Stegostoma tigrinum: one gene and its partners. The protein of the gene in region 1 purifies or fractionates together with the protein of each later gene. This does not show direct contact. Links are inferred from orthologs where the notes say so. Each region holds a gene or a part of one and is shown in the gene's direction. Other genes may lie near its edges.

What was found. Proteins that work in one complex are often made in the same cells at the same time.
Region 2: the proteins of pes (region 1) and ddx27 purify together in Homo sapiens (affinity purification with mass spectrometry; 4 studies listed by BioGRID and IntAct, counting the BioPlex papers as one, with this or other methods). This does not show direct contact. The link is inferred for Stegostoma tigrinum from reciprocal best matches to the Homo sapiens genes PES1 and DDX27.
Region 3: the proteins of pes (region 1) and wdr12 purify together in Homo sapiens (co-immunoprecipitation; 7 studies listed by BioGRID and IntAct, counting the BioPlex papers as one, with this or other methods). This does not show direct contact. The link is inferred for Stegostoma tigrinum from reciprocal best matches to the Homo sapiens genes PES1 and WDR12.

Annotation. Positions count from the first base shown.
Region 1 is NC_081379.1:22,745,028-22,751,895, forward strand, and holds the start of pes (pescadillo), read left to right. Parts: upstream 1-3,865; 5' UTR 3,866-3,948; coding exon 3,949-3,972; intron 3,973-4,401; coding exon 4,402-4,481; intron 4,482-6,868. UniProt on the Homo sapiens protein: Component of the PeBoW complex, which is required for maturation of 28S and 5.8S ribosomal RNAs and formation of the 60S ribosome.
Region 2 is NC_081372.1:55,194,232-55,201,441, forward strand, and holds the start of ddx27 (probable ATP-dependent RNA helicase DDX27), read left to right. Parts: upstream 1-4,186; 5' UTR 4,187-4,293; coding exon 4,294-4,371; intron 4,372-7,210. UniProt on the Homo sapiens protein: Probable ATP-dependent RNA helicase. Component of the nucleolar ribosomal RNA (rRNA) processing machinery that regulates 3' end formation of ribosomal 47S rRNA.
Region 3 is NC_081360.1:26,349,460-26,356,923, forward strand, and holds the start of wdr12 (ribosome biogenesis protein wdr12), read left to right. Parts: upstream 1-4,440; 5' UTR 4,441-4,446; coding exon 4,447-4,556; intron 4,557-7,464.

The DNA of each region.
Region 1 (6,868 bases):
TTTCCACTCCCCCTCCCATTCTCTTGATGACATGTCCATCATGGGCCTCCTGCACTGCCACAATGATGCCACCCGAAGGTTGCAGGAACAGCAACTCATATTCCGCCTGGGAACCCTGCAGCCATATGGTATCAATGTGGACTTCACCAGTTTCAAAATCTCCCCTTCCCCTACTGCATCCCTAAACCAGCCCAGTTCATCCCCTCCCCCCACTGCACCACACAACCAGCCCAGCTCTTCCCCCCCACCCACTGCATCCCAAAACCAGTCCAACCTGTCTCTGCCTCCCTAACCGGTTCTTCCTCTCACCCATCCCTTCCTCCCACCCCAAGCCGCACCCCCAGCTACCTACTAACCTCATCCCACCTCCTTGACCTGTCCGTCTTCCCTGGACTGACCTAACCCCTCCCTACCTCCCTACCTCCCCACCTACACCCTCTCCACCTATCTTCTTTACTCTCCATCTTCGGTCCGCCTCCCCCTCTCTCCCTATTTATTCCAGTTCCCTCCCCCCATCCCCCTCTCTGATGAAGGGTCTAGGCCCGAAACGTCAGCTTTTGTGCTCCTGAGATGCTGCTTGGCCTGCTGTGTTCATCCAGCCTCACATTTTATTCCCTTGGTCTCTCTGTTCTACGACAGTGCCTCAGGCCCTACTTTTAATTGTATAATTCTTGTTTTTGTTTGTTTTTCCAAAATGTAAAGCCTCGCATTTACCCAAATTGAACTCCATCTGCCACTCTTCAGCACATTGACCTAATTGACCAAGATCTGTTTGTAATCCTAGATAACCTTCTACACTGATAGCAGGAACTGCAGATGCTGGAGAATCTGAGATAACAAGGTGCAGAACTGGATGAACACAGCAGGCCAAGCAGCATCAGAGGAGCAGGAAGGCTGACGTTTCGGGCATAGACCGAAGGGTCTGAAAAAGGGTCTAGGCTTGAAACGTCAGCCTTCCTGTTCCTCTGATGCTGCTTGGCCTGCTGTGTTCATCCAGCTCTGCACCTTGTTATCTCTAACTTTCTTCACTATCCACTGTACCACCAATTTCCGTCTCATCCACAAACCGACTAAACATGCTTTCTGTATTTGCACTTAAATAACATATTCATATGTAAATGTCAAACAAAAGTGAACCCGGTGCGGATCCCTGTGGAACATAACTGATCACAGGTCACCAGTCTGAAAAACAACCCTCCACCATCACTCTCCGTCTCCTGTTGTTCAGCCAATTTTGCCTCCATTTGGCAAGCTCACCCTAAATCCCATGTGATCTGACTTTAGCAATTAGTCTACCATGTGGAACCTTGTCAGAGGCTTTTCTAAAGTTATGACGTCATCAATCTTTTTGGTTACTTGCTCAAAAAGCTCAATTAAGTTTGTGAGACACAATTTCCCTTGTACAAAACCATGCTGACTTTCCTAATCATTCCTTGCTTCTCCAAATGCTGTTTCAGAAACACTTCCAACAACTTTTCCACCACAAGGTCAGACTTACATGTCTACAGCTCCCAAGCTTCTCCTTACACCCTTTCTTCAGCAGAGGCACAACATTAACCACTTTCCAGTCAGTTACAGATGATACAAATATTTCTCCTAGGGGCCCAATAATTTCTTCTCTAATGTCCCAAAAAGTCCTAGGATTTACTAGATAAGATCCTGGAGATTTATCCATCTTTATATTTTGTAAGACCTCCAAGAGTTCCTCTTTTGTAATGTAAACTGTTTTCAAAACATTAACATTTATTTTCCTGAGTTCTCCAGCTTCATTTCTTTCTCCACAGTAAAAACAGATGCAAAATATTCATTTATTATCTCTCCCATCTCCTGAGGGTCAACACAAAGACAATCTCTTTGATCCTTAAGGGGGTCTGCTCTCTTGATATGCGTTCCCAATTACTTTTGAATAGAGTGGTTTGCTTTGTCATTCTAGACAACAGTTGAGAGTTAATTTAGAACGCTCAACAAATTATATCGAATGTGACTTCTCAGGTATCGAAGCAGTTTGTGTCCATGTGCAGCAACACCTGGACAACATCTAGGCTTGGGTTGATGAGTGGAAAGTAACACTTATGCCATACAAGTGCTAGGCAATGATCATCACTTCCTGATGTTCAATGACACTACCAATACTGAATTCCTATCAACATTTTTAGGGTTACCCTTGACCAGAAACTGAATTAGCCCAGCCATATAAATACTGTATCTACAAGGGGAGGTCAGTGGTTAGGAATTCTATGATGAACGACTTACCTCCTGCCTTTCCAAAGCCTGTCTACTAACTGTATGACGCAAGTCAACAGTGTGATGGCACACTCTCCACTTTTTTGGATGAGTGCAGCTTCAACCAAATTTAAGAAGCTTAATGCTAATCAGCACGTAGCAGCCTGCAATACTAGTGCCCAACCCACCTTCAACATTCACTCCCTTCACCACCTAATGCACAGCAGTATGTGCCACCTGCAAGATACACTGCAGTAACTTATCAATACTTTCCCAATAGCACCTTCCAAATCTATGACCTCTATCACCAGGAAGGAAAAGGGCAGCAAGATATGTGGGAACAGCACCACCTGCAAATTCCCTTCCAAGCAACACACTGTGAAGACGTGGGAACTCTTTCACTGTTCCATTGTAATATCATTACAGGTATCACTATGCATCAACGATTGCAGCTCACCACCAGCTTCTCCAGGGCAGTTAGAGATGGGAAATAAATGCTAGCCCAGCCAATGACATCTAATTCCATGAATAAATATTTTAAAAAGGGAGTACGGGGATAGAATAGGGATTTTCAGTAACAAATCAGCATCCTTACCCCTGAAAGTATGACAAGCAGGTATATGGACAATTTATATCACCAAATCCTGACAACAGTTCAGAGATAACAAGGTGTAGAGCTGGATAAACACAGCAAGCCAATCCTGCTCCTGTGATGCTGCTTGGCCTGCTGTGTTCATCCAGCTCTACACCTTGTTATCTCAGATTCTCCATCATCTGCAGTTCCTACTGTCTCCTGATAACAGTTCCATTAGCGTGACACCAATGACCCCAACTCTGCTGATCAATTGTTTGATTGGTAGAATACCTTTTTGGAAACAGTAGACACACATTGATGAGTCAAGAGATGAGTTACTCGCCGCAGAACTCTGAGCTTCTGACCTGCTCTTGAGCCCCAATGTGTTTATGTGGCCAATCCAGTTGAGTTTCTGGTCAATAGTAACCCCCAGGATGTTGATAGTTGGGGATTTAGTGGCAGCAATACCATCAAAGGTTGGTGGGTTGGATCATTTCTAATTGGCAATGGTCATTTTCTTGCATTTGTGTGGCACAAATGTCACTTGCCCAAATCTGGATAGGGCCAGATTTTCTTGTATTTGAACATTCAGCATCTAAGGAGTCGCAAATGGCGCTGAACACTGTGCACCGATTGGTGAACATCTCAACTTTTAACTTTATGATGGAGGGAAGGTCATTAGTGAAGCAGCTGGACTTGGTTGCGTCTAGGACACTGCCCTGAGAAACCCCCTATGACAGAAGAAGCTACCCACAGGGTTCATTAAATAACCATTAAATTATATATTTCCCCACCAGAGAAAATAAGGTCTGTCCATCTGCTTTAATGAATTACTGCACCATTTTGAATATCTCAACTACATGACATACTCCACAGAGAAAAAAACAGACTCCGCCCCCTCCCTGAAACTGGGCATGCACCCAATGGGACATACTCAGGCATCCATGAAATGCCTGTAATTAATTCCTGAAAGCTCTGACTTCTCAATACATTGTTTCATTTTTATATGAAAAAAAGTTGATTATGTAAATTTGCAACGTTATTTCTGAATGCGGAACTTGTGCCTATTTAGTACGGCGTGGGATAGCCAACTCTGTGACGACGTCCTGGGGGTCTTTCAAAGTTGTCCATGTGCGGAGGGGTTGTTGGAGATGGGTGGACTGGAGAAAAAGAAGGTGCGGGGCTTGGGAGGAGAGGGTAACCGGCCGGGAATGATTATGTAAAAATCTCTTACAGTTCTGCCGTCCGCTTTGTCTTGAGCGATTCGGCAGCATTACGAATGTGACTTTTTACGATGGCAGCCTCGGGCCTGGACCCAGCAAGCTAGTCTAATAAACCGCCCCTCTCCTCCCATTGCCTGGTAACTAGTAACTGTTCCCCCCCCCCCCCCCGGTATTGCCTAGTAACCAGTAACCCCTACCCATGTCCTCCCCCCCCCACCCCACCCCCACTGTGCCCTCTTCCCTCGTACTCAGTAGCTGTGCCATTCTTACAGCTTCTGTCCTTCCCCAGTTGAAATATTGTCTACAGTGCAGCTGCTACACTGATGCTCAAAATTGAGATTTTTCTTTTGCTGAAAACTAAAATGCTTTGTTTTTCACCAGTACGAAAGAGGAGCTGCTACAAACTACATTACTAGAAATAAAGCCAGGAAGAAGTTGCAACTTAGTCTTGCAGATTTCAGGTAAAATCACGTTTATTTAAATGTGTCCAGCAAGTTATGCATTTAGATGAGGGTGAATGTTATCAAGAAAATTGTGTTAAATATTTCCTGATGAGCTCAATTTTAGGGTCTTTAAAAGAAGTAGCTACCAAGGTAACAGATGCATTGATGTTCTTTTTACAAGATTTGCTAGATTCTGGAAATGCTACACCAGAACTGGAAAGATGGAAACATAATCCCACTATTCAAGAAGGACGTGTGGCAGAAAAAAAAAGGATAGGCCAATTAGCTTGACCTTTGTTGTGGGGAAGGTGCAAATATCAGACATTACAGCAGCCGTAATTATGCACATAGAGTCAAGGTAATTGGGAAGGATCAGACTAAAAACTGAAAGAACTGCAGATGCTATAAAACAGGAACAAAAACAAGTTGCTGAAAAAGCTCAATAGGTCTGGTGGCATCTGTGAAGGAAAAAAAAGAGTTAACATTTCATAGAACATTACAGCACAGTACAGGCCCTTCGGCCCTCGATGTTGTACCGACCTGTCATACCGATCTCAAGCCCATCTAACCTACACTATTCCACGTACGTCCATATGCTTATCCAATGATGACTTAAATGTACCTAAAGTTGGCGAATCTACTACTGTTGCAGGCAAAGCGTTCCATTCCCTTACTACTCTGAGTGAAGAAACTACCTCTGACATCTGACCTGTATCTTTCACCCCTCAATTTAAAGCTATGCTCCCTCATGCTTGCTGTCACCATCCTAGGAAAAAGGCTCTCCTTATCCACCCTATCTAACCCTCTGATTATTTTATGTTTCAATTAAGTCACCTCTCAACCTCTCTCATGAAAACAGCCTCAAGTCTCTCAGCCTTTCCTCGTAAGACCTTCCCTCCATACCAGGCAACATCCTAGTAAATCTCCTCTGCACCCTTTCCAAAGCTTCCACATCCTCCTTATAATGTGGTGGTCAGAACTGTACACAATACTGCAAGTGCGGCCGCACCAGAGTTTTGTACAGCTTCACCATAACCTCTTGGTTCCAGAACTCGATCCCTCTATTAATAAAAGCTAAAACACTGTATGCCACCTTAACAGCCCTGTCAACCTGGGTTGCAACTTTCAAGGATCTGTGTACGTGGACACCGAGATCTCTCTGCTCATCTACACTACTAAGAATCTTACCATTAGCCCTGTACTTTGCCTTCCGGTTACTCCTACCAAAGTGCATCACCTCACACTTGTCTGCATTAAACTCCATTTGCCACCTGTCAGCCCAGCTCTGCAGCTTATCTATGTTTCTCTGCAACCTACAGCATCCTTTGTCACTATCCACAACTCCACCAACCTTAGTGTCGTCTGCAAATTTACTAACCCATCCTTCTACGCCCTCATCCAGGTCATTTATAAAAATGACAAACAGCAGTGGACCCAACACCGACCCTTGCGGTACACCACGAGTAACTGGTCTCCAGGATGAATATTTCCCATCAACTACCACCCTCTGTCTTCTTTCAGCAAGCCAATTTCCGATCCAAACTGCTGTGTCTCCCCCAATTCCATTCCTCCACATTTTGTACAATAGCCTATTGTGGGGAACCTTATCGAACGCCTTGCTGAAATCCATGTACGCCACATCAACCAGTTTACTCTCATCTACCTGTTTGGTCACCTTCTCAAAGAACTCAATAAGGTTTGTGAGGCACGACCTTCCGTTCACAAAACCGTGCTGACTATCCCTAATCAATTTACTCTCTTCTAGATGATTATAAATCCTATCCCTTATAACCTTTTCCAACACTTTACCAACAACTGAGGTAAGGCTCACTGGTCTATAATTACCAGGGTTGTCTCTACTCCCCTTCTTGAACAGGGGAACCACATTTGCTATCCTCCAGTCATCTGGCACTATTCCTGTAGACAATGCCGAGTTAAAGATCAATGCCAAAGGCTCGGCAATCTCTTCCCTGGCTTCCCAGAGGATCCAAGGATAAATCCCATCCGGCCAAGGGGACTTATCCGTCTTCACCCTCTGAAGGATTTCTAATACCTCTTCCTTGTGAACCTCAATCCCACCTAGTCTAGTAGCCTGTATCTCAGTATTCTCCTCAACAACATTGTTGTTTTCTAGAGTGAATACTGTTGAAAAATATTCATTTAGCGCTTCCCCTATCTCATCTGACTCCACACACAACTTACCACTACTATCCTTGATTGGGCCTAATCTTACTTTTGTCATTCTTTTATTCCTTAAATAGCCATAGAAAGCCTTTGGGTTTACCCTGATCCTATCCGTCAACAACTTCTCATGTCTCCTCCTGGCTCTTCTGAGCTCTCTTCTCTGAGAAAGAGAGTTACCTAAACCGAGGAAGGGTCACAGGACCAGAAGTGTTAACTCTGAC
Region 2 (7,210 bases), on another chromosome or scaffold:
TTTTCTTGATTACTTCCTCCAGAACTAAAGTCCCTGAACACTAGAAACACTCATTTTCACTCCTTGAATTGTGATATCTTAGCAATTCTTGGCCGATGGCAGTGAGGTTTTAAATTTATTTCCAAAATATGGGCATCACTGACAAGTTTAGCCCTTTTTACCGAGATGTACCAGGTGGGTGATTAGGACTTGGAATAGTAGTAGAGCTGTATTACAACCTGACAGCTTAATTCACTGAGTCCCAATAAGAATCCAAACTCCATAACAATCAACTGTGTGGTGCTTCAAGGCATTTGTATTTTTAAAAAGGATTGGGAGCATCTAGTAGCCCTGGCTCATCCATCCTCTGAACCCAGCATGTTACTTTTGAAGTGGTTCCAGCCCCAGATCCAATACCACTGAGCCAAATGGGATAAGTTCAGAATAGATCAAACACCTCTAAGATGGACATTCAGGAGACATTGTGGGTCATTGGAGCACCAGAATTTATTCAACATTAATCTTGCTTGAAATATCCCTCCCTTTACTATCGAGCCAGGAGACAGTTAATTGTTCGATGAGGATTGTGGAATTAGGACCAAGTGTATCTAAAAATGAGATGCTAATTTAATGCAGCTACTACAGCACTGCATGCTAAACAGTAGCAGTGCCATCTTTATAGACAAAGGAAAGAGGTCATTATTTCTAATTCCTAGGTTGTTATTCCTAACAGAACAGATCAGATCAGATCAAAGTATTGCAGTTCTTTCATATCCAGTTATCAATAGTGGGGATCAACTAAACAACTAATTAACAAAAGATGCTCCATGAATACCCCCATCTTCCATGACAGGAGGGCTACCATTAATTGAAAATACCAGGCTAAAGCATTTGGAGCTATCTTCAGCCAGAAATGACATTGATAATCTATTTAAGCCTTCCTCCTGAGATCACAAGCTACATGGATACCAGTCTTCAGCCAATAAGATTCTCTACATCAAAAAAAACTAGATGAGGGGAATACAGCAAAGGGAAAGGTCCCTAAAAGCACTCTGTTAAACATTTGGCACAATACTTAGTGTATGGGAGTAAAGGAATATGATGGTGTTTTAAATTTAGTTTCACTGGAAACTGCATATGGATTTTGTTTCTCTAGAAATAAAGCTCATTAAATTATGATTCTGAATTGACGACAATTGTATCTAGCCCAGAAAGAGACTGTGGTCAGATGAGGTCTTGACAACTCTGGGAGAGCGAACGGTTGATGTAAACAACTAGACTACAAAGCTGCAGACTTTTCATGTAATGTTATCGCATTTAGGTGCTGCTGAAATACATGATACATTCATTAGTGTGTGGAAGTAGACTGAAATTTAATGTTAGCGAATTATTCATTGCTGAATAACAACTAAACTGACCAGTTATTATAACAGCTAAATATAAAGTAAATCTTTTCAACTCAATGTTTCTCAACATTTATAACTCTAGTTTTATAAAAGTGTTCCATAAATCAATTGTTGAAAGACTACAGAGGCATGATAAAAGTCCATTCAGCTGTCCAGCCTAAGAAAAAAGTATAAGGCAAGAGACCCTAGTGGAGTAGTGAGAAAAAGTCCTGAGGTTCACTAATGCTAACATTTTTGGATAAGTTGCCAAGTGTTGATGACATGAAAAACAAAGAAGAGAAAGGGCTGCTTGCACATGCCCATTTAGACCAGTACTTGTTGCTGATTTGATTTGATTTATTGTCACGTGTACCTATGTATTGTGAAAAGCTTTGTCTGTTAGCAATACAGGTAGGTCATAGAAAGCAAGGACATTCACATCATAGGGTGAAAAAAACTTGGACGTCATGAGGCCATAAACATTTTAGCGCATAGGATGTGCGCAAGGCAAGATCAGCATTAACAAAATCAACATTATTTGAAGTTAGAAAGTCTGTTCATCAGTCTAATATGGCAGGGAAGAAGCTGTTCTTGAACCTTCTGGTGCATGTGTTCAAGCTTCTGTATCTTCTGCCTGACCAAAGGTTCTTGTAGGAGAGCATCCCACTGGAGTGGGATGGATCTTTGTTGGCAGCCTTTCCGTGGCAACAAGAGGTATAAATGGAGTCCATGGATGGGAGAGATAATGAGAACTGCAGATGCTGGAGAATCCATGGATAACAAAGTGTCAAGCTGGATGAACACAGCAGGCCAAGCAGCATCTCAGGAGCACAAAAACTGACGTTTCAGAGGGCAGAATCCTCTCCCCATCCCCATCTCTGATGAAGAGTCTAGGCCCGAAACATCAGCTTTTGTGCTCCTGAGATGCTGCTTGGCCTGCTGTGTTCATCCAGCTTCACACTTTGTTATCCATGGATGGAAGGTTGGCTTCCGTTATGCTCTGGGCTGTGCACACGACTTTCTGTAGTTTCTTATAGTCCTGGCAGAAACAGTTGCTATAGCAGGCCATTATGCACCTGGTGCATCTGTAACAGTTGGTGAGGGACCTGATGGACATTCCAAATTTCCTGAGCTGCCTGAGGAGGAACAGGTGTTAATCTATTTGGAAGTCCAGGATAGGTTGTTGGTTATCGCCATACCTAGGAACTTGACACTCTTAACACTCTTGACCTCAGTTCCATTGATGTAGATGGGGATGTGTTCTTTCTTTCTGAAGTTAACATCAGTTCTTTGCTCGCCATGGTTGTATGTTTTTACTGTGCAACTAGATTGCTATTTTCTGTCATAAAATCTGATTAACTTCAACATATGTAGGAACAGGAGTAGAGCCATCAGCCTGTCAAACCCTCACCACCATTTAATACAATCATGGCTGACTGAAAACTTCAATGCCTTCTACCCAAAATAACCCCATAACCCCGTTCTGTGTTGGTAATCAGAAATCTGACAACTTTTACATCAAAAATACTCAACGACTGAGCTTTTATAGCACTTCGGTCCAATCACAACCCCTCAGATAATGATGCAACGTGTGCCCCGGACAGTAAGACCTACATAACAAAAGCTTTGTTTGATATGTCTGGCAAGTAACACTTTCACATCAAGCGTCAGGTAATGACCACCTCTGATAACAATATTTTGTTTATAGAGCAGCTTTAATGTAATAAGGTATCCCAAGGCATTTTTTTTTAGAGTATTGTGAAACTGATCTGGGATGACAGTGTGGAGCTGGAGGAACACAGCAGGCGAGGTAGCACCAGAGGAGCAGGAAAACTGATGTTTCAGGTCAGGACCCCTCTTCAAACTTTCTGAAGAAGGGTCCAGACCCGAAACATCAGCTTTCCTGCCCTTCTGATACTGCCCCGCTTGCTGTGTTCCTTCAGCTCCTCACTGTGTTATCTCTGTCTCCAGCATCGGCAGTTTTTTTAATATATGTTTTATATACATAGATATAAAATATTATATATTTTATATCTATGTCTATAGCTATATGTGTGTATATACATTCCATGGTGTGGAAACAGGCCAGCTACAACAACACTCAACATAGGTTCATAAGTAGGCCATTCAGCCTTTCAAGTCTGCTGCACCATTTAATATGATCATTGTTGATCGAAAACTTCAATGCCTTTTACCCAAATAATCCCACGATCTTTTACATCATCGGTACCCTGCAATCTATCAACATCTGGTTTAAAAATACCCAACTACTGAGTCTCCACAGCCCTCTGATCCCAGTTTCCAAAGATTCACAATCATCCAAGTAAAATAATTTCTCCTTGTCTTTGTCCTTAATGGAAATACCTTGTTTTCTAAATTGCACCCCTGGCTTTTGACTCTCCAACCAGGGAAAACGTTTCTTAGACAACAAAGTGTGAAGCTGGATGAACACAGCAGGCCAAGCAGCATCTCAGGAGCTTGGCCTGCTGTGTTCATCCAGCTTCACACTTTGTTGTCTTGGATTCTCCAGCATCTGCAGTTCCCATTATTTCTGAAAACGTTTCTTATGCCCTATCTATCCTTTAAAGTAGTTTACAAGTTTCAGAGATTGTGTCTCATTCTTGAAAACTCTGGTGAATATAAGCGCAGTTTGCCCTATTTCTCTTTATAGAACAGTATTGCCATCCAGGGAGAAGTCTGCTGAACATTTGCGGCACTCCCTCTGGCAGCATAAGGCTCGAAATGTATTTGGTAATGTCCTCGTCCATGCAATTGTGCCTTCACTCTCGTTGCCCGGAACGATTGTTGGGCGGACTGTTTGTTCCAGCCGCCGCTTCTGCTGCGGACGGGTTTTGCCGACGAACGTTGTGCTCCCGCAGGCTGAAGTTTCCTCACACGTGCCGGTTTCTGATCGGTTTGTCGGGATCCCATGGCTGCTTTCGACTTAATCAGGACGATTGGAGAGGAGGACGAGGTTCCGGAGGAGGAGACGGGCTCTGAGGGAGAGGTGAGGCCGGGCCTTGATGTCGGTTACTGTGACTTCGGCTGCGGCGGTCACTGTGGAACGCAGCAAGATCCCAACAAGGCTTCTGAAGTGCAGTCAGACCAGACTGGAAACGTTCATTCTCTCCTCACAAAGGCTGGCAGACCTGACGTGTTTCTCCAGCACTTTGTTTACTTTTTTTAAAATTTAAAATCCCACTAAACCGGGTAATGGGACATTCTGGGTTCAAATCCCACCCCTTTGCTTGAGCCCTGCACGAAATCGAGACCGATGGAGGGCCGCGTTGTCTTTCCGACAGACCCACCCCCACCTGGCTGCTTAGGTCAGCGTGACCAACTGTTTGGACGTTTACACATACTTGAGGCAGGTGTACCAGGCGGTTTGCTGCTCTCCCTTCATTTTTGACCTTCCTTTCTCAATCAAACGCTATGTCCCCCTCCTGCCTGTAATACTCTTTGATAAGAAAGCAGCCGCCCCCCCATCCCCCGGCTGTATGGTGCATTCTGCCAAAGTATCCCTTAAATTTCTCCCAGAGTTACGTAAGGTGTAGGAGCAGAAATAGACCATTCAACTCGTCGAGTCTGCTCCACCATTCAGTGAGATCATGGGTGATCTGATGATACTACCCTCGCAGAAAGAAATTCCTCCTCATTTCTGCCTTAAATGCCCAACTTCTTAATTTGAGATTGGTCCCAGTCGGCTGCAGTGGGTGCAAAAGATGTCATGATACAACTTCAAAAAAGAGCAGAGGAGTTTTCGCTAATGTTCTGACCAACAATCTCCCCTCATCAGCACAAAAAAATTGTTCATTACTGCAGTGAAGTTAGTTTATAGTGTCCAAATTGGCTGCTACATTAGAACGGTGGCTAAGCTTTTGAAAAGTATTTTACTTTGAGACGTCTGGTCACTATGAGAATTGTAATAAAAGTTCAATGACTCCTTGTTTAAAAATATAGCTTTTTATTTGAAGCAGAATGCCCCAGAGATAAGGGCTGAGACAGTTAAAGGTTCTGTGACAAGGCAAAAAGTGTAAAAGGCCAGGGTCAAAGGTTTGAAGAATATAGGTCATTTGTTACTATGCACAAGAGAGATGAAATACTGTACTAAAGCAAGTCTGTTCATTTGTCTGCAGTAAATATCATCCATCAGATGTGAATTCATTCACTCAATCTAATCTGATTGGTTTTCCCCATACAAGGCTTTTAACTAATACAACTGTTTCATCTCGAAATGTACAGTTTATATGTGCTTTAATTTACATTATTAATGTAGATAGTGGAGAACAACAGACACTCTCAAAAATCGCTCAGTTCAAGACGATATAACCTAAACTCTGAGATTTGCTCTATAGGCTATCATGTAGTACCTCATGTGAGTATTTGAAAATGAATCTTTTCCAGAACCCGTGTTAAAGTCTCGTCAGAACCTCTTTTCTGTTGAACTTGTAATAGAGTGTGTCTCTTAAAATTGCTTCTAGAAATTTGCTTGTGAGGAAATGAAGAATATTGGGGTTGCGCAACAGCTGAAAATTCTCAGCAAGCATTGAGGTAGTGGATTAAAAGGATTTGATATGAGTTACAACACAGCAGAGTTTTGGATGAGCTGACATTTATCAAGGGTGCAACGCAGCAGCCTAGCCAGGGTAGCATTTGAGTTAGTCACGTCTTTTGACAGCAGAAGATATGCTGAGGTGGGAGTGGAAGGGTATTTCACGAGAAGCTCAGCTCGAGGTAAAATAGGATGCTTAGTTCTGAACAGTGTGGTTCAATCTTGGACAGTATCTATGGAGAGGGATTGAATCGGCTAGGGAATTGAGGTTTGATGTGTGGACTGTAGAAAGTATTGTTGGTCTTCCAAACATTTAATTGGAAGGTATTTCTGATCATCGGGTCCTGTCTGTCAGACATGCAGTATGACCATTCGAAGGCAGTGGAGGGTTGAGCAGTGTGTGTTGATACGTAGCTGGTTGTTGAATGTTTTCAGGTGAAATCGCTGAGGGGCAGCCTGCAGATGAGAAATGGTGATGCACTGAGAACAGATGATTGGGTAAGTCCAGAAGTCAAAATGCAGGAGTGAGAAGAAGAACAATCACAGACAATTTTCCAGTAAGAGTAGAAGCAGATGAGTACAGTGCCAGGCTATCAGAACAACAGAGGATAGTGTGGTCAATCATCTCAGACTGCTGACAGGTCTAGAAAGACGAGGAAGGATAGATTACCACAGTCAATTTAGAGTGACCTGTTTGACTTCAGGTGTTATCATAGAATCCCTACGGTGTGGAAACAGGCCATTTGGCCCAACAAGTCCACATTGACCCTCTGAAGAGCATCCCACCTAGACTCATCCCTTTACACTTGCCCTGTTACCCTGCATTTCCCAAGGCTAACACACCTAACCTGCACATCCCTGAACACTATGGGCAATTTAGCAAGGCCCATTCACAGCTTGGGATAGTGGCAGGAAACCAGAGCACCCGGAGGAAACACACGCAGACACGGGGAGAATGTGCCAACTCCACGCAGATAGTCACCTGAGGGTGGAATTGAACCCTGGTCACTGGTGCTGTGAGTCAGCAGTGCTAACGACTGTGCCACCGTGGGAGAAGAGGTACGTTTCCAAATTATGGCAAATTTTGGAACAACTTGAGGATTTTTCAGCCGAGTGAGTGTTTGAAAATGGAACAGTGGTTAGCATTAAATAAAAACTGTAAGAACTGCAGATGCTGTAAATCAGAGACAAAAGTAGATATTGCTGGAAAAGCTTGGCAGGTCAGGCAGCATCTATGGAGAGAAATCAAAGTTAACATTAAGTGAGGGTCAGTTCCGAGAAAGGAGCGCTTCAC
Region 3 (7,464 bases), on another chromosome or scaffold:
AGGTGTGGGGTTGCAGGTGTAGAACTTCCTGCAGTTGCAGGGGAAGTACCTGGTATGGTGGTGTTGGAGAGGAGTGTGGAGCAGACAAGGGAGTCTCAGAGAGAGTGGTCCCTCCGGAAAGCAGACAAGGGAGAGGAGGGAAAAATGTCTTTGGTGTTGGGGTTGGATTGTAGATGGCAGAGGTGTCGGAGGATGACGCGTTGGATCTGGAGTTGGTAGGGTGGTAGGTGAGGACAAGGGGGATTCTGTTTTGGTGGTTATTGCGGGGATGGGGTGTGAGGGATGAGTTGCAGGAAATAGACAATAGGTGCTGGAGTAGCCATTTGACCCTTTGAGCCAGCACCACAAATGCGGGAGACACAGTCAAGGGCATTCTCGACCACTAACGGGGTGGGGGGGGGGGGGGGGGGGAGTGGTGTGGAGGGATGTGGCAGAGGTGAAGGAGTTGGGAATAGGGGATGGAATTTTTGCAGGAAGGTGGGTGGGAGGAGGTGTATTCTAGGTAGCTGTGGGAGTTGGTGGGCTTGAAACGGATATTGGTTTCTCGGTGGTTGCCTGAGATGGAGATAGAGAGGTCCAGGAATGTGAAGAAGGTGTTGGAGATGGTCCAGGTGAACTTGAGGTTGGGGTGGAAGGTGTTGAACTGGATGAACTGTTCAAGTTCCTCGTGGGAGCACGAGGTGGCGTTGATACAGTCATCAATGTAACAGAGGAAGAGGTGGGGTTTAGGGCCAGTGTAGATACGGAAGAAGGATTGTTCCACGTAACCTACAAAGAGGCAGGCATAGCTTGAGCCCATGTGGGTACACCACCTCCCATCCACTTTGCTGCAAAAATTCCATCCCCGTTCCCAATTCCTTCGCCTCTGCCACATCTGCTCCCAGGATGAGGCATTCCACTCCCATACATCTCAGATGTCCTCATTTTTCAAGGACCACAAAACCGCTCCCCCCCCCCCCCCCAGTGGTAGAGAATGCCCTCAACCATGTCTCCCACATTTCCCACAACTCATCCCTCACAACCCATCCCCGCAACAACCACCAAAAGAGAATCCCCCTCATCCTCACGTACCACCCCACCAATCTCTGGATCCAACGCATCATCCTCTGACACTTCTGCCATCTGAAATCCGTCCCCACCGCCAAAGACGTTGTTCCCTCCCCACTCTTGTCTGCTTTCCAGAGGGACCACTCTCTCCGTGACTCCCTTGTCAGCTCCACACTCCCCTCCAACCCCACCATACCCGACACTTGCTCCTGCAACTGCAGGAAGTGTAACACCTGCCCCCATACTTCCTCCCTCACTCCCATCCCAGACCTCAAGAGGACTTTCCACTTCAATCAGATGTTCACCTGCACTTCTGCCAGTGTGGTATACTGCATCCGCTGTACCCATTGTGGCCTCCTCTACATTGGGGAAGCCAAGCGGAGGCTTGGTGACTGCTTTGCAGAACACTACACTCAGCTCGCAATAAACAACTGCACCTCCCAGTCGCGAACGATTTCAATCCCTCCTTCCATTCCTTAGATGACATGTCCATCCAGGGCCTCCTGCAGTGCCACAACGATGCCACCCAAAGGTTGTAGGAACAGCAACTCGTAATCCGCTTCAGAATCCTGCCGCACAATGCTATCAATGTGGACTTCACAAGCTTCAAAATCTACCCCTCCCCCCACCCCCGCATCCCAAAACCAGCCCAGCTCGTCCTCGCCTCCCTAACCTGTTCTTCCTCTCACCTATTCCCTCCTCCCACCTCAAGGTGCACCCCCATTTCCTACCTACTCACCTCATCCCGCCCCCTTGACCTGTAAGTCCTCCACGGACTGACCTATCCCCTCCCTACCTACACTCACCTTTACTGGCTCCATCCCCGTCTCTTTAACTTGTCTCTCTCCTCTCCACCTATCTTCTCCTCTATCCATCTTCAGTCTGCCTTCCCCTTTCTCCCTATTTATTTCAGAACCCTCTTCCCCTTCCCTTTATCTGATGAAGGGTCTAGGCCCGAAACCTCAGCTTTTGTGTTCCTAAGATGCTGCTCGGCCTGCTGTGTTCATCCAGCTCCACGCTTCGTTATCTCGGATTCTCCAGCATCTGCAATTCCCATTATCTCAAAGTGGAAGAAATCTGGTTTATGCACTCAGAGACAGCAAGAACTGCAGATGCTTGAGTCAGAGACAACACAGCATGGAGCTAGAGGAACACAGCAGGCCAAGGCAGCAGTAGAGGAACGGGAAAGTTGACATTTTGGATTGTGACCCTTCTTCAGATGCTTCCTGGCCTGTTGTTCCTCCAGCTCCACACTACTGTCTCTGGTTTATGCAATTCCTATTTTCTTCAAGAATGTTGTACGTGTGAACGATGATACAAGATGTAAGTAGAAACCAAAAATGAGTTTGACAATTTAAAAATAACAGAAACAAAACTTTAAATCTACAGACATAACGCTGGCTAAATTCCAAAGCTATTGTTACATTTCTCGTGTATGTTCTAATATTTCTGTCTTTTGAGCAGCAATCTAATTCCCAAATTAACGTACTTCTTGACTTTGGTTTCACAAGTTCCCTTTTTTTTCTAAACTATCCATTAATTATTTTAGTTTATCTTTTTTGTTCATTAATAAGTAATGATTGTCTCTCGATCAATTTTAACTTCTCAGAATTGAAGTATCCAAGAGGCTTTTTCAACCTGTTGGCACTATTGGAAAAGCTCAAACCTTTCAATATGTCTTCAGAACATTCAAACAAATCTGCACTGAGATGACAAAACTACACAATGCTCTGACTTCACCCTAATTGAGATCTTGTGAAATTATCTACTTCATTTTAAATTTTATGCCTTCAGGTTTAATGCCAAGCGCTCTGTTATTTCTTTCATTACATTCACATTTAAAGTGTGCCAGTGAGCTGTCTACCTGCTCCATTAAACGTTAAAATTTAAACTGTACATTTTCCTAATTCATACTTCCAAAATTTATTCAGAGATAGTAGGAACTGCAGAACCTGGAGAAGCTGAGATAACAAGGTGCAGAGATGGATGAACACAGCAGGCCAAGCAGCATCAGGGGAGCAGGAAGGTTGAAGTGGTATTTCTGAAGAAAGCTCTAGGTCCGAAACATCAGCCTTCCTGCTGCTCTGAAGCTGCTTGGCCTGCTGTGTTCATCCAGCTCTACACCTTGTTATTACAAAATATATTCCTGATTTTTGTTTTGAGCTGCCATCTGTATACTTACTAAGCTCATGTGACTTCTTTCAATTTTCGTAGGCTTTCAGTTGTAGTTTGGCTGATAGTGCATTCACCTCTGAACCGCCTGTTTCAGGTTCAAGTCCCAATTCTCAGAGACTTGAGTACGGAAATCAAAGCCAACACCCGACTGCAGTACAATTCCAAAGCACCATTGGCTGTGCTGGCTTTTGGATAAGATGTTAAATTGAGGTGCACTCTGGCTGTTTGGATGATCTCAGTACAGTATTTTAAAGAATAGCAAGAGAGTTATTCCTGGCATTCTGCCTAATGTTTATACCTCAGTTACTCTGGTTACACAGGAAAACAAACCTTCCTCAACTGCCTTCGCCAAGTTTTGACAGTGTGATAAAGGGGTCTGAAAGGGTTACAACTGTAGGTGTGGTGACATTTTGTTCTGTATGCATTTACATGCCACCAATAACGAAAGCAGATCTTTATTTTGCTGTTTGTGACAGCTTGCTTGCGGCTTGAAAATTGGATGTGGTGTTTACCTGCATCACAACTGTGACTGAACATTTAATTCCTTTTGTATGGGACATCCTGACGCCAGGAAAGGCGTCGCAGAGTGTTCTCCTTTCATCTGTGGGTGTTGAATCTGCCTGTTTAAGAAGTTTTCAGATAAAGTAGACGATCTTTGTGAGGAACCCTCGCTTATGTAAACCCTGGTGAGCGACATTTTTCCATTTTTTAAAAAAAGTTGCTGTATTAGACAGGACAGAATTAAGCAATGATCAAGTTATACTTAAGAGCCGCATTAGTTTTCTTGATTCGGAGATAATGGGAACTGCAGATGCTGGAGAATCCAGTATAACAAAGTGTGGAGCCCAGACCCTTTGATGGGACATCCTCTCTGATGAAGGGTCTAGGCCCGAAACGTCAGCTTTTGTGCTCCTGAGATGCTGCTTGGCCTGCTGTGTTCATCCAGCTCCACACTTTGTTATCTTAGTTTTCTTGATTTGCCGTCTTGTGTTTTTTTGAGGTAGCGGAGACCATCCTGTAGCACAGCTTCTTCTCCCCCAAAAGTCACATCTGGTGACCTTCAAAGTGAGAGCAGCCGCCGTACATTAGGATGGAGCGCGCCTTTCAGAGCCACGTCCAATAGATAGCAGAAGGCGTGATCGAGGTTTGTTATTTTCCCCGCCGCGGCGGTCGACAGGTCGTGCCTGGGGAGGTCACGTGGCGCGGGTGCTCTGTGACAGCGCGATGGTTGGGGGTGGCCTGGTGCTGGCGGCAGACAGTGCGCAAGCGCGACTCCGACTCCATCCTCCCAACATGGCGCAGGTGCAGGCTCGCTTTTACACCGAGGATCGGAGGTGAGTCCGGAGCCCGGCATTAACCGGGGCCTCCCGAGTGCCGTCTAACGGCCCGGCGGGACCGAGCCCTATCCACGGTGCTGCTCCATTCCCTCCACCCACGCCCCAGTTCAGTAAAACCGGTCTTTACAGGCTCTTTCTCTTCTCCCACGTTTTGGTTTTGCGAGGTTCAACCGAACGGGGCATTACAGCGCGGGCAGCAACATCAGATGTTGCTGGAGAGAAAAAAAAACCGCAGCATGTCCGGCAGCATCTGTGGAGAGGATTCACTGTGAAGAGGAACACTGTGGAGTGTTTCAGGAGAGGCTACCGGCCCCGACCCCTCTCTGAAGAGTCTAGGCCCGAAACGTCAGCTTTTGTGCTCTTGAGATGCTCCTTGGCCTTCTGTGTTCATCCAGCTCCACACTTTGTTATCATGGATTCTCCAGCATCTGCAGTTCCCACTGTCTCCGACCCAACTCTCAACCCGGTCTCACTGCCAGGTGTGAAAGATGAGGCACAGATGGGCAGAGGGGTTGGTCTGAATAGCGCACCCCCTCCCCTCCGGGCCCCGCACCTTGAACGAGTTGTTTTGAAATAATTGTATCAGAGATAATGGGAACTGCAGATGCTGGAGAATCCGAGATAACAAAGTGTGGAGCTGGATGAACACAGCAGGCCAAGCAGCATCTCAGGACCACAAAAGCTGACGTTTCAGGCCTAGACCCTTCATCAGAAAAGGGGGAGGGAAAGGGGATTCTGAAACAAATAGGGAGAGAGGGAGCCGACACACTACACTTTGAGCCGTCATCCGAGGATCTCTGATCCGTTGCTAGATCTCCCGCGACCTTGTTTAAAAACCCGAGCGCACGGTAAACTATTACCTTGAATGATGCCTGTAATGCATGTAGTCTTTTACTACTTAATCACAGTTATCACCCACATTCCCTTCTTGATGAACTCTTTGACTCAAAATTCTGGGAAGGTGCCAGTTGGAAGTTGAATACTATGACATGACATGGGATGGGATGGGGTGGCAATTGTAAAGTGTCAGAGAGGAAAGAGCAGAACCAATAACTTGCTTATTAGCATTAACTTAACTGTTCTCCTATTACTAACTTCTTCATGTTAACTTTGTCATTTTAATCTCCACGGACAGATTTTCTCCTTGCAGCCTCTTCTCCCTTATTTACTCTTTACTCTCCACAGCTTCACCTTTACATTTCTGTAAGGTTGTTTAATGTTGCTGCTATTCAGTTTAAGGATATTTTCTGATGTGCATTAGTGTAAGTAAAGACTGTTGAGAGCTAAGGCAATTCATCCCTCACCAGCATAGGTTTAAATTGAATAAGTTCAGTGCTGCCTTGAGAAAATTCCATAATGGAAAGCATTAAGAACAAGTCATAGAATTCCTATAGTGTGGAAGCAGGCCATTTGGCCCATCAAGTTCACACTGATTGTCCAAAGAGCAACCCAACCTCCCTACGCTTTCCCATTAACCCTGTATTTCCCATAGCTAATTCATCTACACACCCCAGGACACTAATGTGGAAATTTAGCATGGATAGTCCACCTCACCTGCATATCTTCAGATGATGGGAGGAAACCAGAGCTCCCAGAGGAAAATCAAACAGACATAACATGCAGACTTCACACACAGTTGCCAGAGGGTGGAATTGAATCCACGTCCCTGGTGCTGTGAGGCTGCAGTGCTAGCCACTGTGCAGGACCTATGTTTGACTTATAATCTAAATTACTTCACAGCACATGCTGCTACCGGACTGTGTGATCAGCGTCATGAATTCTGCCCAATTTTCATATCAGTCTGCAGTCCTTCTGAAATGAGGTCATTTATCAATTAAAACATTTGAAAAGAAATCGTAAAATTAAGACTGTTAATAGTGGGATTCCGTCATTGTATGTGACCTTATTAAATTTTTCCGCTATAATAATCTTGGAAGTGTGATCATTAAAACTTTTGAGAACGTAAAAAGTAGGAGCATGAGTAGACCACGTGCATCACTCAGCCTGCTCGACCATTCAGTACAATTATAGCTGACCTTCAGTTTCAATACCATCCACCCACTGCAGTGCATATTTATTCCGTGATTCCCTGACACCAGGAATCTGTCATCATCTCAAGCTAAACTGTACATAACAATGGAGTATTTCCTACTTTTTGAATGAAGAATTCCAAGAATTTATTACCCTTTGAGTGAAGGACCTTCTCACCTAAGATCTAGATGATTGACCTGTGATTCCCAACCCCCTGCCACACTAATTTAACCCATTCCGAGTGACAGTAGCAAATCTCCCTGCTAGGACATTGATGTTCAGTCGATGTCCAGTTAGAATGCAACCTGTCCACCTTGTACAGGTACCTCCTACCTTGGGAGAAATCCCAATGATCCAGATATCTGATGAATACTCCAACACCATCTCTTTTGCCATGCATTCAACTGGCCTCACTAACACGTGAAACAGGGAGTAATCTTGAGATTACAAACCTAGAGACCCTGTTTTGCAATTTTCTACCTAACTCCCTAAATTCCCTTTCAGGACCTCGTACCTGTTTCTGTCTATGAGGTTAGGTTGAATAGGAGCCATGATCTCTGACTGCTTACCCTCCCCTTTCACAGTATCACATGTCTGCTTGGAGACATCCTTGATCTTGGCATCAGGAGGACAACACACCATCCTGGAACCTTGCTTATGATGACAGAAATATCTACCTGTGTTCCAATATAAAGTTAAATGATGCCACATTTACTTATTTCCCTTTGTCTACCTGACTATTTAGGACTTCCACATGGTGCTGGTGATTCTTAACATGTCGAACCTCTTCTCAGTTGAGATCATTTCAAATTAATACAGTAGTAAAATACAGCAGATGTAGAATATCAAGTGTACTTCTGTTAAATCCCTCTTC